Linked DNA regions of Astyanax mexicanus. The protein of the gene in region 2 purifies or fractionates together with the protein of the main gene of each other region. This does not show direct contact. Links are inferred from orthologs where the notes say so. Each region holds a gene or a part of one and is shown on either strand. Other genes may lie near its edges. The genes, in order: dusp6 and mapk3.

What was found.
Region 1: the proteins of mapk3 (region 2) and dusp6 purify together in Homo sapiens (affinity purification with mass spectrometry; 7 studies listed by BioGRID and IntAct, with this or other methods). This does not show direct contact. The link is inferred for Astyanax mexicanus from reciprocal best matches to the Homo sapiens genes MAPK3 and DUSP6.

Annotation. Positions count from the first base shown.
Region 1 is NC_064417.1:17,625,680-17,633,064, forward strand, and holds the start of dusp6 (dual specificity protein phosphatase 6), read right to left. Parts: upstream 3,038-7,385; 5' UTR 2,530-3,037; coding exon 2,130-2,529; intron 1,404-2,129; coding exon 969-1,403; intron 13-968; coding exon 1-12. UniProt on the Homo sapiens protein: Dual specificity protein phosphatase, which mediates dephosphorylation and inactivation of MAP kinases. Has a specificity for the ERK family. Plays an important role in alleviating chronic postoperative pain.
Region 2 is NC_064426.1:25,608,556-25,616,263, reverse strand, and holds the start of mapk3 (mitogen-activated protein kinase 3), read right to left. Parts: upstream 3,002-7,708; 5' UTR 2,795-3,001; coding exon 2,583-2,794; intron 1-2,582.

The DNA.
Region 1 (7,385 bases), on a different chromosome or scaffold from region 2:
CTCGGGCCTCATCTGAACAGGAAAGAAGAAGAAAGCTGATTAATTTATGTCCTCCAGGGCTCATACAAACACATATGCACACAACACAAACAAAACAAAGCACCAATCTGGCAAGACCAGATAAACAACCTGAGGAGCCACAAACTCAGTTTCCTCTACATATAATTTGCGAGATTGCGTGGCTAAGGCAAAGTGCCCTTATAAATGTGTAATACTACATTAGCCATGCTGCCGAGAGACAGAGAGAGGGCTGTGTGTCAGAATTCATTAGACTCTCCAGTGCATGACAGAAGACAGGGAAAAAAACAAATCTTCCATTTTCTTTGTGAATTCTGACATGGAAATGGGCTATTATGGCCTATCAAATGATCCTTCCGCTCACCAGGTTACTTGACAATGGCACCATTTGGGTGTGTAAATGTAGAAGTCATGGGGGCACCCTGTCATGGCTAGCAGGATGTCAACATTCCCCTGTAAATGGGCCCCATTGTGTGGAGAAACACTGCTCTGTCCTACATTACTTTCAATGCTGCTTCCTTCCTGTTAAGCTCAAATTACACCCACCCCCCTACCCTTCTCCTCTTTCATCCTAAGCCTTTGTACCACAATTGCACAAGGCTCAGCTAAACTCGCAAATATAAAGGAACAGTGGCATCCACTCAAACACTGACTAGTTACAATTTAAACAAAGAGGTGCCTTTTCTTGGCTCTGGGTTAGTAGATCTTCCTAATGTTAGATCTAGGTTTTATTTCTGACCCATTTGTGTAATAAAGGCTACATTTAAGTTTTTTACATGCCATGCCTTCGAATGTGCTCTGGTGAAATGAGCTGCTGTAAATCAGAGGACAAAAATATCCTTTGTCATAATAAAACAAATTAAAAACAAATCCAGGTGCTTCCCCAACATTAGTTTGCAGATGTTATATCAGACTGCGTGTACTTGTCTTTGTATTTATCTTACACTTACCAATGAAGCTGATGGCCTCTGGGAAGAACTGGGAGAGATTCTGACTCCAGTGGTCGGATATGGGAATCTGCTTGTACTTAAATTCCCCGGCATTCTCGAACAGATTGGGCAGGTTGGGGGTAACATTGAGGATGTACTTGATGCCGAACTCTTCCAAGATGTCCAGGTTTGTGGAGTCCTTGGCACAGCCCAGATACAGGTGCGGCAGGATCTCCACAGGGAAAGATGGCTGCGGGTTGGACAGCGGGCTGCCGTCCGAGTCTGTGGCACTGCTTGGGTCACGGTCAATGTCCGACTCGATGTCCGAGGAGTCCGAGCTGATCCTCAGCCCTCCCAGGCCCAGCACCTGAGCCGTAGGCGAGCTGCTGCTGGAGGAGCCATCGAGGTTGGTCTCACACAGTGCAGGGTACTCGGCCTGGAATTTGCTGAAGCCCCCTGTTAGGAATAATAAAAACAGCTGAGTACAAGTGTACAAAAATTTAATTTTAATAAAAGTCAGATCTGGCACTGAGACTTTCCTAATGCTTTCACTAACATAGGCTGTAAAAAGACAGGCCACGATAAAAAAAAAAAAACACACCAGATTTCAACTGGAACAAAGCAAGTTTTATCAGGAGTGTTACTGTAGACTTCAGCATGCTTTTAAGATAACAGTTAAGACAAATGTTTTTACTAGAAGATTAACAATTCAGTGTATGGTTTTATCACTAAGGTTAATGCCTTCTTTTATAAAGACTAAAACATTATAGGGAAGGCATGAGAAGACCTGTTTTTGCAGATTAAGTCCCTTTAACACTGAAAAATATAAATACATAAAGTAATTAAAAACTAATGACTAATGCTTTAAGACTGGAGTAAGAACACAATGTTCTATTGACTAATGTTTTAAATGGCAGATTACGGAAACACAGAAACACGCTTACATTATGAATAGAGTGTACATTTGTTTTGAAGGTGAATATTTTAAGCAACAAAATGTTAAACCAAAAATCTATGTTAATATAAATGAATTATATTACTAGGTTAAGATTTACGTTTTCAAATAAAATATAACGTCTTACCACTGCAGCTCATTTTTACCCATTATACAAAAAGTTATGATATGATAACTATAAGAGATGATAAGGTTAAAGCCGGATTCTGTGATTTAATCTCACACACCTTCCAGGTAGAAAGCCCTGCAGCCCTCGTCCTTCATCCTCCTCAGCAGTAAACCGAGCACGGAGCCTCCGTCCACATTCTCGTTCCAGTCCCGGCTGTACTCGTCGTACAGAACCACGGTGTCGGTCTTACACCTCCGCGCGAACCTCTCGCGGTCCTCTCCGCTGGACAGCAGCGACTTGACGGGCAGGTTTCCCTTCTTCAGCCGCCGCAGCATGAGGCTCGGGATGGCGACGTTGATGGCCGTATCGACGTGCGACGAGTCGTAGAGCTCGCGCGCGCGGCAGTCCATCACCAGCAATCCGTCGCGCCGCGTCTCGAGCTGCTCCCGCAGCCATTCAGCGCTCTTACTGATCGCCATCGCCGAGTCGAGCTGCGCGGGCCGGAGCTTATCGAGCATTGGGACTGAGCAGAGAGAGGGAGCGAGCGAGCGCGCGCCTCCGGTCTGTCTGAAACCCCTTTACCGAGCCGAACGAAGATCACGGAGCCGCAAGGCCTTGAGCATTAAACGCAGCAGCAGATCCGTTCACCAGAGCAGCAGCAGCAGGAGGGAGAACACGCTGCTGACTGAAATCCCCGTCAACGAGTCGAGCCCGCGCGCGCTCAGCTTCTCTCCATTCATGCAGTGCACCGAGAACGCGTGCGCGTTTATCAATGGCTCGAGCGGCAGCCACTGAGCGGAGCCGCCGCCGCTGACGTCGCCTCTTTCGTTATATAACGCAGCGCGCTCCGGTGTTGGAGAGTGTATCGGGCACAGCGCGCGGTCTGCACGCGGGTTACTCTCCGTTCAGTGCGCGCGGTTCTGTTTTGATGTTGCTCCGCGAGCCTCGCTGGTTTTAGAAGCGGATCTGTGAGCAGCGCGCGCAGGTTTTCCTCTGCACACAGACAGACAGCACAGAGTGAATGGAGCTCGGGGCGCGAGGGGCGTTTCGTTTCAATGGCCGCATTCTACACGCGCCGACCAATGGGAGAGCGCCGAGCTCTGGTCGCCTCGGCAACGGAGCCGGATGGAACAGGCCGCGAACATGAATAGTTAATGAGTTTGTCATTCACAAAAACGGAAAGGAATTTCCGCTCCGGATCCGCAACACCGCAAACAACCCGGGGAGAGGGGAGGAGGGGGCTTTACTCCCCCTACACCCTGTAACTATATAAACACACTATATATATATATATATATATATATATATATATATATATATATATATATATATATATATATATATATATATATAAAGAGAGAGAGAGAGAGAGAGAGAGAGAGAGAGAGAGATTAAAACAATCCGGTTAATCACAAAAATATTCTGTGATTACCTTGTTCTTAATAAAGCGCACTTTTTATATTAGTGGTGTTACTTAAAATACTAATATATACTTTTATGGGGTGCTAGAATAAAAAATGCATGCGAAAAGTAAGCAACATTGTAAAATAACAATAAACATCTAATTTCATTATTTTAGTAATTTAGCTTTAAACATATTGTGTAGATTCAAAAATGCAATTAATATGAGCTGCAATATAAAATGTGCATAATGTTTTAGTGTTTAGATTACTATTGGTTCATTTATTATGTTTGTATAGAAAGGTCAAAACCTTTACACTACAGTTAATCTACACAGTGGAACATATGTTGTCAGTTAGTTTGTGTTTATTATAGTGTCTTAAAGAACAACTACAATGCCGTGATGCTGTTTTGTTATAACCCCCCACGCAGGGGTTTCGCTCAGGAGATATCGCACTTCGTGCCACATGATCAGATGCTGATGGCTCTCTGGCTGTTCAGCAGGTCTATATCCTGTGTAAACGATGATTCAATAAACACATTAGCAGAACCATTAGATCAGTTTAGCACACGTACCCAGGAAAGATCCAGACTCGCCAATCCCCCAAATTAATGCTTTTCTTTATTCTCTGTATTACAGCTAGTCCACTGCAATCTGTACAGGAAACACTTTAAGTTCTTAACAGTTAACTGGGGGGGAGATTTATTATATCATTAATATTAATGGACTGTGAAGTGGAAATGTTAAAATGTAACTCCTACTATGATCGTGATTATTAGCAGTAGATAAACTATTGTTTTTGTTAGTAATCTGGTGAATGATGATGTTGGGTATGGTTAGGTATGGATCAGTGCTGCTAGATCAGATTACCTCAGATCCATTGTAATCCAGTTTAGAGAATACGTTAGCTTTGATAAAGTACTCCAGCAAATCACTGCTCTGTATGTTCAGTTTGTTGTTCAGAGATAAATCTTGATCTGAAAATGTTCATACCTTCATTAGCCTAAGGCACATGTGTCAAACACAAGGCCCGCGGGCCAAATGTGGCCCGCCACGTCTTTTTATGTGGCCCGCGAGAGCTTGTAAGATCTTAGTGTCTATAATAAATAAGTCAGAAGCGTTCTTTGACCAAAAAATACATTTCCCACAATGCTTGTCGATTGTATTACCCGCAAAGTTACGGCTTACTGCCACTACACGGCAGTGTAGTCATTGATGTGGAAACCCTGCCGGAGGGAAGGTGTAACTTCGCGGGTGGAATTGAGACATAAATGTTTATCCCATAATGTCCAGAAAAAGAGAAGTTGATGCAGACGGACGGCTGTGCTTCAAGGCGAAAGACCGGTATGCCTTTTGTGTTACGAAGAGTGTTACTGACCAAAATAAACGCTTTTTAGGAGAGATATAAGTTCTGTGTAAATATTTATAAGACAATAGCTGACAAAATCTGTTTTAATGACGTTAATAAACATCACTGGGACAGCGCTAGTCGCAGTTTCACCGCAGCAAAGTACGAGGACGTGAATCACTTATCTAACCAGCCTTTACTAATTTCTGCCCTCAATAACCCTTTCAATAACCTCCAATAGCCTTTAATAGTCTTCAGTAGCCTTCAACAGTCTAACCTTGCTGCCGTGGTGTGTCCACTAAACTCCGTAGTTATAAACATCCTGAGGTTAGCAGCGCGATAACTGACCTGTTTACAATGTAATCCCAGCAGTGACTCATGCTCTAAACGGCTGCTGTTAGCTGATTGGGCTGAAAGATGAACTGTAGAGAGCTGTATTATTCGGTTACAAAAATCTTTATTTCATACACAGAAGAACTTAAAAATTTTAAAAACGCTCCAGACTGGCTGAGCTGAGCCCTGTAGCCCGTGGCTGGGCTGTAGCTCTGACTCAGTAAAGACTGCGGACTTGTGGTGCTGCTGCTGCTGCAGCTCCCACTAGTGGTTGGATGAGGAACTGCTAAATCTGAGGAAATGCTATGTTCTTAACAGCTCACAATTTGATTTTATATTTATTAAGCCTTATTTCAGTTAATAATTTCAAAGTTAATATAACTTGATGTCATGTCATTTCTATTCACTTGAATAGTTTGGTTCTTGATTGATGGAGTTTTTGGATTTCATGACATGACAAATTAAAAGGATTTATGTTAATAGAGCAACAAGCAAACATTTTTTCCATGCAACTGTAATATTTGATTGAATAAATAATATATTGAGAGTTATTTAACATTAAGGAGTAATTACATTCATTTACATATATTACATTTGGTTACATTTTATTACATTTATAAGTTACATCTGGCCCTCGGAGGACAGCCAATATGCCAATGTGGCCCTCGGCCAAAATGAGTTTGACACCCCTGGCCTAAGGGTTCCTGTAGTAGCACTCAGGAATCCAGAGGGTTCTGGTATTTGTACTAAAAAGTTGCATCACATTGATGAAAAATGTAAAGTAAGATCCAGAGCAGCCACTGTTCTCAGACACACTGTCTCCTGTGGAGGCCAGCGGCCAATTGCCCTTAATAGTCCATTTAGGCCTGCCATTCACATGCAGAACGACCATGCAGAAAAGGTGTGTGCAGTTTCAGAGCTCTTAACCTCGGATGCATGGCAGGGAGTTCACTGCAACAGACATTACCCTGCAGCTTTTAGAAACTTGTCTTTGGAGTCTCTGATTTCTTGTTTCTGTTCTGCCTAGGACTTAATTTCTCAAAACACCTGCGGGCCAGGAGTCTGTAAAAGTCTTTGTCTTGCGTAGACTGGCTCCATGTCCTCCCCCACATTAAGGTACATGTGTTGTGCATGTAACATTAATTGTCTTAGTTCTTAGTTGTTTCATACATTTGAATATAAAAGACACTGCTCCTTTTGTTCAGCAGTAAAGCTAAAACAAGCATTGGTCTAGTTTTTGGGATGGCCTGTTTTAAGTAGTGGAGCGCAGTTCCAATCAAATGTTGAGACAGGGTATGATGACACTGTTCACTTCATTTATTTTAGCATTAGGAGAATCTACATTTAAAAAAAAAAAAAGATCCCATAATGTTGTTTGGAGAGATGGTGGGAGGAGTGAGAAAATGATTAAACTATTTCCAGCCGAAGTCCCGATTGCTGCAAAGGAGTAAAGAATTTCTTGCTTAAACATTTGATTTAAGTGTTATTTATTAGTACATTCCAAACAAATACCGTATTTTTCGGACTATAAGGCGCACCGTATTATAAGACGCACTATCAAAGAACGCCTATTTTCTGCTATTTTTCCATACATAGGGCGCATCGCATTATAAGGCGCGTTAAGTGACACTAGAAAGGGTGCCTATATCAAAGTGAACAGGGGTGGCGCCATGTTTCCCTTCCCCCACCGGGGGTGGTCGCTTGCCGGTGGAGCGTCTCAGTATATATAAATCTAGCTCTTTCAAAGTCAAACGAGTGCTGGATATTAATCTACACAGATTCCTCTCCTGAAAACTGTTTATTTGGGTGAGTAACGTGCTTCAGTTTATTTACAGTAAGCTTAGATTTCCAGATGTCCACTAAGGCTTGCTGCACCAGCGTTAGCATAGCTATCCGCTAGCACGCTAGCTAGTCACCTAAACTAGTAAAGTTAACCCAAACTTAAACGACAGCGTTACACTGAGTAATCCTGCGTGTTCTGGTAAGACAGTGAGATATTAGCTAGCGATTCGTCCCCCGTAGCTTGTTTTAACACTGTAAACAAGCAGATTACAGGCTGATAAAACTCACCTCTGAGAGAGTTAGCGCTTAGCATCTAGCTAATGCTAGCCAGGCAAAGCAGCACAGACTTACAGGCCGATAACTCACCTCTGAACGGTGAACGCTTAGCGATTAGCATCTAACTCTAATAATACTGCTCCAGCAGTATTAAAAGTGCTAAATTTAGAAAATACTGATCTCTGAACAGTGAAAAAGCTAGCTAGCTAAGCGGTTAGCATCTAGCTAATGCT
Region 2 (7,708 bases):
ATCAAATCCACTATACATAACGTTTTTTATTTTAAAAAGTTGCGTGTCTTTTCTGTTTACTACAAAGGTGACACCATGTTAAAACATACAAAAAAAAAATAAAAATAAATAATAATAATAATAATAATAATAATAACAACTTGTTAAAGCATGGGAATGAGATTCTCATGTGTGGCCATTACTTAAAGCGTGGGGACGAGATCATAATACGTGGCCACGACTTAAAAACACATGGGAATGAGATCTGAATGCATTGCCACGACTTAATAAAGCATGGGAACGAGATTCTAATGCATGGCCATGACTTATTAAAGCGTGAGAACAGATCATAATGTGTGGCCATACCTTATTTAGGCATGGGAATAAGATCCTTACTTGTGGCCACGACTCAACCAAGTGTGGGAACAAGATTTTAATGTGTGGCCATGACTTAGTGTGGGAACAAGACAAATTGAGTCCTGACCATAACAATCGTCCCCACGACTTAATTATCTGGTTCTCAAGTTTTAATTAAGCTTTGGTCACTAATAAGTACATATTTTATTCCACGTTGTCACCATAGGGGGTCTGTAGGTTTGTGATTAAAAGTGTGGATTTGTAATTTGATCATTTCATGGACCAATAGAAATGCTTAAAATTACTGGACATAAAATCTTTTTCACTGACTTCCGTTGAAAGCTAAGATTGATTTTCTTTTCTAATCCCACTGCAGCAGACTTGTAGAAAAGCACAAAACATTGTGATGAGAAGAACAGCCACCTTTTGACAACATTGTAGCAACGTTGTAAGAACGTAGCCAACGTTGTGACAATGCTGTGTGTTCGCTGGGCCACCTAACGTGAACTAACTGACTGCCAATTCAGTGTTAATTACAAAGCACAACAACTATTAATGCATTTAACTACATTTAGCAACATTCAGAGCGTTTAAAAATCCTGAAAAAAGCAGCATTTCTGCCACCTCACTCCCCCGACTAAACACACAATTAGCATTATGGTAAAACCACGCCTTTCCTACAGGCAGCACATAATGAAATGTCAAGCCGCTAAACGCTAGCTAATGGATTAGCATGCAGGTTTAGCTCACAACTAGCCAGCTAAGTTAGCTAACCAGCCAAACACTGGCTCTTTTAGAGATTGGGCGACGAAAAAAAAACAAAAATTATCAGAGCGGACATGGACATGTCTTTAGTAACATTTATATTGTGGTTTGGTTAAAAATATAAGGCCAATGCCTGTATAAACTTTAGGTTAGCTAGGTAAGCTAACAGGATGAGCATCAAAATGACAGCTTGCTTGATTCGCTTCCTTGCAAATCCTTTGCATCTTTTTTTCCTATTAGCTATCGTTAGCTAGCATGTTTTACTATATTTTAACGTTTAAATATAATGCTAATCCTTTATTTGACATTCTTAACATAAATAACTAGCTAACCCAGCTGATAGTTACACTGTTTGTATACTAAACATCTAGTTAGCTACTTAACTCCTTTTTACCCATATCTATTTTTTTTTTCTTTAGCTAGCTCGGTTATGCGTATCTATTATGTTTGTTATTTATGTTAGCTAGCTAACTAGCTACCTGTTATGTCTTAACACCAACGTCTTGACTAGCTAGTTAGCTTATACTGTTAGTTATGCAAACACTTTTTTGCTTTGCTTTTTTTTTTTACTGTATTCTATTATCTCACTTTTTGATTTACTACTATTGTCTTTATTATTCTCATTAACATTATTATGGGCGGGTTTATTATTATTATGCGTCTGTGTTTGTAACTGGCTAGTTAACTGTATTGTAATGCACAACATCTTCGCCTGTTTTTTACATAGTTAACGTTAAGCGTCATCTTGTTTAGTTAGCTAGGTTAGTTGCTGGATAATGTTAGGATAATGTTTAGTTAACGCTTGGAGAACGTCCTATATAAACAGATATAGCTAGCTATATAGCGTATGGTTAACGTTACAGTTAGCTACAATTGTCGTTTAATATAACGTTAACTATCTAGTTTAAACAGCCACCAAGGACCAACACCTACTTTTTTTATCCAACTGCTAGTGTTGGTAAATCCAGGTCCAGAAAGTTCGCGTTAGCCAGAATCCAGCCCAGGATTTTATTCCAACTGCATTGGCAGCGCTGCTGTAGCTCGACTTCAGAGGCTCTGCTAAAGCCGTTGGAAACAAATCTTGGCCTGGATTTCTTTTTCAAATCATGAACCTGGATTTACCAGCATAGCCGACTATGCGATGCTAAGCTAGCGCGTAAGACAGCTAGGATAAGTCGCTAGCTATATACTTGTAGAGGTGGGTAACCAAGGTCCAGAAAGTAAAAATCCAACCCAGGGTTTGTACCAGCTGCAGCATAGCCGCCCAGGCAGTTGGTACAAAACCCTGGGTTGGCCCTTTACTTTCTGGACCTGGGTTATCCACCCCTACAAGTATCCTGCTAGGTTAGCTACGCTGCTAAGCTAACGCTAGCGAACTGAGCCCACCCTACTGTTGCAGCAGCAGCTTCTCTCATGGTGTTTATATCGTTAAAATGTGTAACAAAAACACAGAAATGTCAGCAAACACTTCCTCCCCTTACCAAACCATCCCGTACGCCCCCTCCCCGATGTACTGCAGATCGGTGTAGCGAGGGCCCACGTCAAAATTTTGCCCTTTCACGGACTCAAGGCCGGGCTTGGATCCCGCAGCTCCAGTCGCTCCCCCGGGCGGCACCGCTCCTCCTGCCCCGGCGGCGCTCCCATTCGAGCCTGCGGCTCCGGCTGCCGCTGCGCTGCTGCCTGAGTCCGCCATCACTCCGTCCACAAATCCGCACCCTCAGATCAATACAAACGAGTTCAGGCGATAAAAGGCGTCCCCGCGCGTGTTCTGCTGCTGTTTGTTGAGATCGCGGCCGCGGTGGTTTTCCGTGGACGAGTGCGCTCGCCTGACAGTCGAAGAGGAGTCGATAAATCGAGGCCCTCCTCCTCCTCTTCGATAAAGACTGTGTGAGTGTGTGGACGCGGATCCCTCCCGTGCAGCGACGCTGGGCGTGTGCAGATCTGCGCCGCCCACGATTAGCGGGGTTATTACCAGTATATTATATTACTATTAAACCTTATTAGCAGCTATATGTGGCTTAAAAGTATTGACATAAGTATTGAATCTGCATTTTGTATATTTGAATTAAATTTACCTGACTTTTGAATAAACTTGAAATATTTAATGAGGAGATTCAAACATTTTAATTCTAACAACTTTTTGTGTTTTGAAATTGGAGGTAGTGAAAATGGCTGTTAAAACCCATAAAATAAAATAAAAAAATCCAAATTAAATTAAAATCTATTTTATTCGAAACTCAAGAATACAATATTAGAACAAAGATGTAATCCAGTAGATTGATTTGAATTGATCTATCTGAAATTTATGCATCTGATTTTTCCAAATCTGAAAATCATATTTTGAAATGTATTTTTTCTTAACGTCAAATTTCTTCACCTCAAAAAAATAAAAAAGCACGTTCAAAACAAAAATTTATGAATTGTTCCATTAAAATTTTTAAGTTTGTTAAAAAGTCAATTTAAAGTAAATTTAATTAAAAACACAAAATTACAAAACATATTCGTTCACCCATCCAAACCACTGAGTCACTGACTGACTCACTGACTGACTGACTGGTTTTAATCACTTCCATGGCCACAGGTATAGGAAAACAAATGTGTCAAAAGTATCCACATTCATTACTCAGGTAGAAGTATAGATACTAGGGTTTAAAATACTTCTGTAGAAGTTAAAGTATCAACTCAAGTAAAAATGTAAATGTTCTGGTTTCAAAACTACTTGAATTATAAAATATAAAGTATAAGTAAGGGGAAAAATGCCATTAAGGACAAAAGTTTAGGCGGCACCACAGGAGCCTATAGTGCTATTTCTCTAAAAGCCATAATGACTATAATGTTATATTAAAATGTTAATTTTGAAAAAAAAATTGGACGCTAGGACACCTGTTTGGCAGAGGAAAAGGACCAAGTGATGCTTGCCGTGCTGCTACAATTACCCAACACTGCATGTGCTACTTTAAAATTAATTGATTTAAGCAATAAAAAAAAATATATATATTTGTTTTAAAGTTATAAAGTTACAGTCCACTCCAAAAATATTGGAACAGTGAGGCCAATCTATTTATTTCTGCATCTGAATCTGAAGACAAAAGACAGCAAATTTTTGTTTGTTTTGTGTTTTGTCAGACAAAAGGTTCTATCTTCTGTCTTTTAATAATAAACACAAATGTTTTCAGTTTACAGCAGATAGCAATAGTAGGACTGGCCTAACTGTCCTAATACTTGTGGAGGAGACAGTATAGTGGGGTGTGTAGTCTCTCTGTAAGTTATAAATGTGGATATCCACATCACCATTGGCAGAGGTGGTGAAATATCAGATATCGCCATCAGCTCAGAATTCCCACATCGGTGCTTCTCTTATGAATATGTTGTGTATACAATATACTGTGACAGGCCTGTGTCACAGCTGTGTATGCACAAAAAGAATATATGTGATTTTATGGCTAAACAACAGCAGATTTGTGTTGTGTGTACACCGTGTTGTAGTGTTCATGGTGAGCCCCAGCCAGTGAGACATACACGGAATGATGGGTAAACATTACTGACAAATTCCTAGTGATAAACTCATACAGTACTTTCTTCAGTATGCAGTGCAAAGTTCCCTTTAAACTGAACACTTTACTCCATATACTTTCACATCTCACCTAAAATGTCCAAATTCACTGTATAGTCCTCTTCACTGAGAAGCGGTGGGATGATAGGAATGTATCTTGTGTCTGTGCGAATCATGTAAGCAAACATTCAGGTTTATACGTGCTCCCATCATAGTGAACCACTCTAATTCGATAAGATCATGAGATCAAAGAGATAAGCCCATGAGCAAACTGATGACATTAATCTTAAGATCTGTTTTAATAAACATACACACTCTACGCCCTACATATTATGAAATTAAATGTGTTAGTCATTGTAATGTGAGTTGATGTGTGCTTGTGTTGTCACTGATATGTAAATGTGATATGAATGAATATGAAGTTGATTACGTGACATAAATCAACAGTGATAAAAAGTTAACGAGTTAGCATGCCCTTTTACATGTAAAAAAAAATCCCTGCACTGTCAATTATATAGCCAGTGTTTTAACATAGACAGACAGATAAAGGTTTAAATAAAGTTATTCTTGAACTACAGTGACTTGACTAAAACATATCTAGATTGTGGGCTAAAATGCCCATCCATTTATATTCAGCAATAGCATATATTAATAATGTAGCAGTAGAGGGCAAGCCACTCCACTGTGAGGAAAGCATTACTGTAAGCTAGAAACAGTAAGAAATGTGATAACAGAAATTAACATTTGTGTTGTGGCAGTAATTTGATAAGCACAAACTACTAATGAGGTAATAGTTTTCCATTAGACAGCCCTCTAATGATTGAATCCAATGATTAATAACCCAATTTTCATGTTGTTATGTTTTTCCCTCATGCTGGTCAAGCTGGTAAAGCTGATTGAATAATCTAGTCTTCAAGCATGGTCCATCTGGCCCCGATAAATAACAATTATGACTAAGCTTGAACTTACTGGTTGACCAGCATTAACACATACATTGACCAGTATTACAAGCACTATCAATCTGGTAGACAGCCAGCCAGACAGACAGACAGACAGACAGACAGACAGACAGACAGACAGACAGACAGACAGATACACAGATGGATGTTAGTGTCAGAAACACATCCAGAATTCAAACAGGTTGTACCAGAAGCCAATGGAAAAGAAGCTGCCAGTGGCAACAGACAAAACTCTCTGATCTCTGACAAAGATCTCTGTTTAAATGTGTACAGTTTCGGAAAAAATAAGAGACCACTTAAAAGTGATGAGTTTCTTTGATTTTACTAAACTGTAAACCTCTGGAATACAATCAAGAGGAAGATGGATGATCAGAAGCCATCAAACCAAGCTAAACATGAAATTTTTAACTGTGAGAAACTGATTCAGAAACTGGTCTCCTATTTTTTGTATACTGTATGTGGGCACGAATGTTCACCTAGTATAAAATAGTTGAGTAATGTTTGGAAATATGAAATTTTAGATAAAACAGGCTTAATTTTGTTTTACTTCAAACTAATTGTGGGTTTACAGTGTTTTAAACAGCATGATAAGCATGACCACACTGGTAAACCAATATGACAGCAAAACCTTAAATTATTATCAATTTAATGTGCTTGTCTTATACATATCATTAATCATTATTAAAGATTTTATTTTTTAATAATACGACTTGTAACAAAATGTATTTGTGTGAAAATAGAAAAACAAAATATTAAAAAAAATGACCTGTAAACAAACTGTGAGTTATCATACTTCTGTTTCTAAAGACCTTTTTCAGCATCTTAATATGATATTGATTCAGTCATGAATAAATGTTGAAATGCTGGCTGGTTAGTTAGTTCACATCAGCATATTGTTAACTACACTGACCATCAAAGACCAGCTCAGGCCATCTATACATTAATATCTGGTCTTAAGCTTGATGTTTCAGCAGGGCTGTTACCTTGATCACAGTGACACACATCTTATTCTTTTTTAGTCCTACAGAAACTCTACAACAGCTGCTCACACCTCTGTCATATGATGATATAATGAGTGTTACGATGCTGTAGAGATTGAGTTATAACCTAGCTAAATTTGTCTCTCTTCTGTTAAGTTGGTTAGATATGATCTTCTTATCACACCAGAATATAACTAGCGGGCAGTTTGCAAATTGGTGCCTGAGTCAAATGATTAAAAGTTTAGTCTTGAAGTGTTTAAATGAGGTCACATGCTTTACACGAATATTATTATCAAATTAAAGATGATAAGAAAAGTCTTGGAAATATATTGCTGGCTAGCTGGTGTGGTTAGATGGATTGGTTATGATTAATGTTGTGCAAAACAGAAAAGGAAAATGGACTTGTTCCCTAGACCCTCAGCCAGACCAAACATCAGACACTGTGTAGAGATGTATTAACCAGTATGAATTTCATTGACAAGAGATTCAGGGGTTCAGGGTTGAGCATATATCAAAATAACAAACAAAAACAACTACAAACATTCATGATAGCAAGGAACATTAGAAATTATATACATTTTAAGGTTAATGATAGAAAAAACAACTTTAAAACAACCACAATTTGACATCAGTTGAAAAAAAGGTTGAAATTCTGACATTAAATCAACATACATTTATCCTAAAGGCTTTGAATGTTTGGGTTAAGCTCTTCTACACCTACATTGATCATTTTAGGTCAAATGTGCTTCCAACAAATAATAATTAATATTATTCATCCTTATTATTTAAATCTCACTTTCTACAGTATAAGACCAACACAGTACAGACTATAAGAATAGACACAAATATTCCATGTAAGTAGGTTAGATTAATACTGCAAAAACAGTACATGTAAAACCATACTTTTGAATCAATGTAAAATTAATGTGCTCAAATAATTCTGTCATTAAAATTAACATTGTTTTAATGCATTAGAGATGGAAAATGAATGTTAATTTAACGTTTTTATGCTATCTAAAAACACATCTACTTAAACAGAAAATTAAAAAATGTCCCCCTGCTAGCAAAACAAAATCAAACTCTCACTCTGCTGTTCCTTAAAAACCTATGATAAA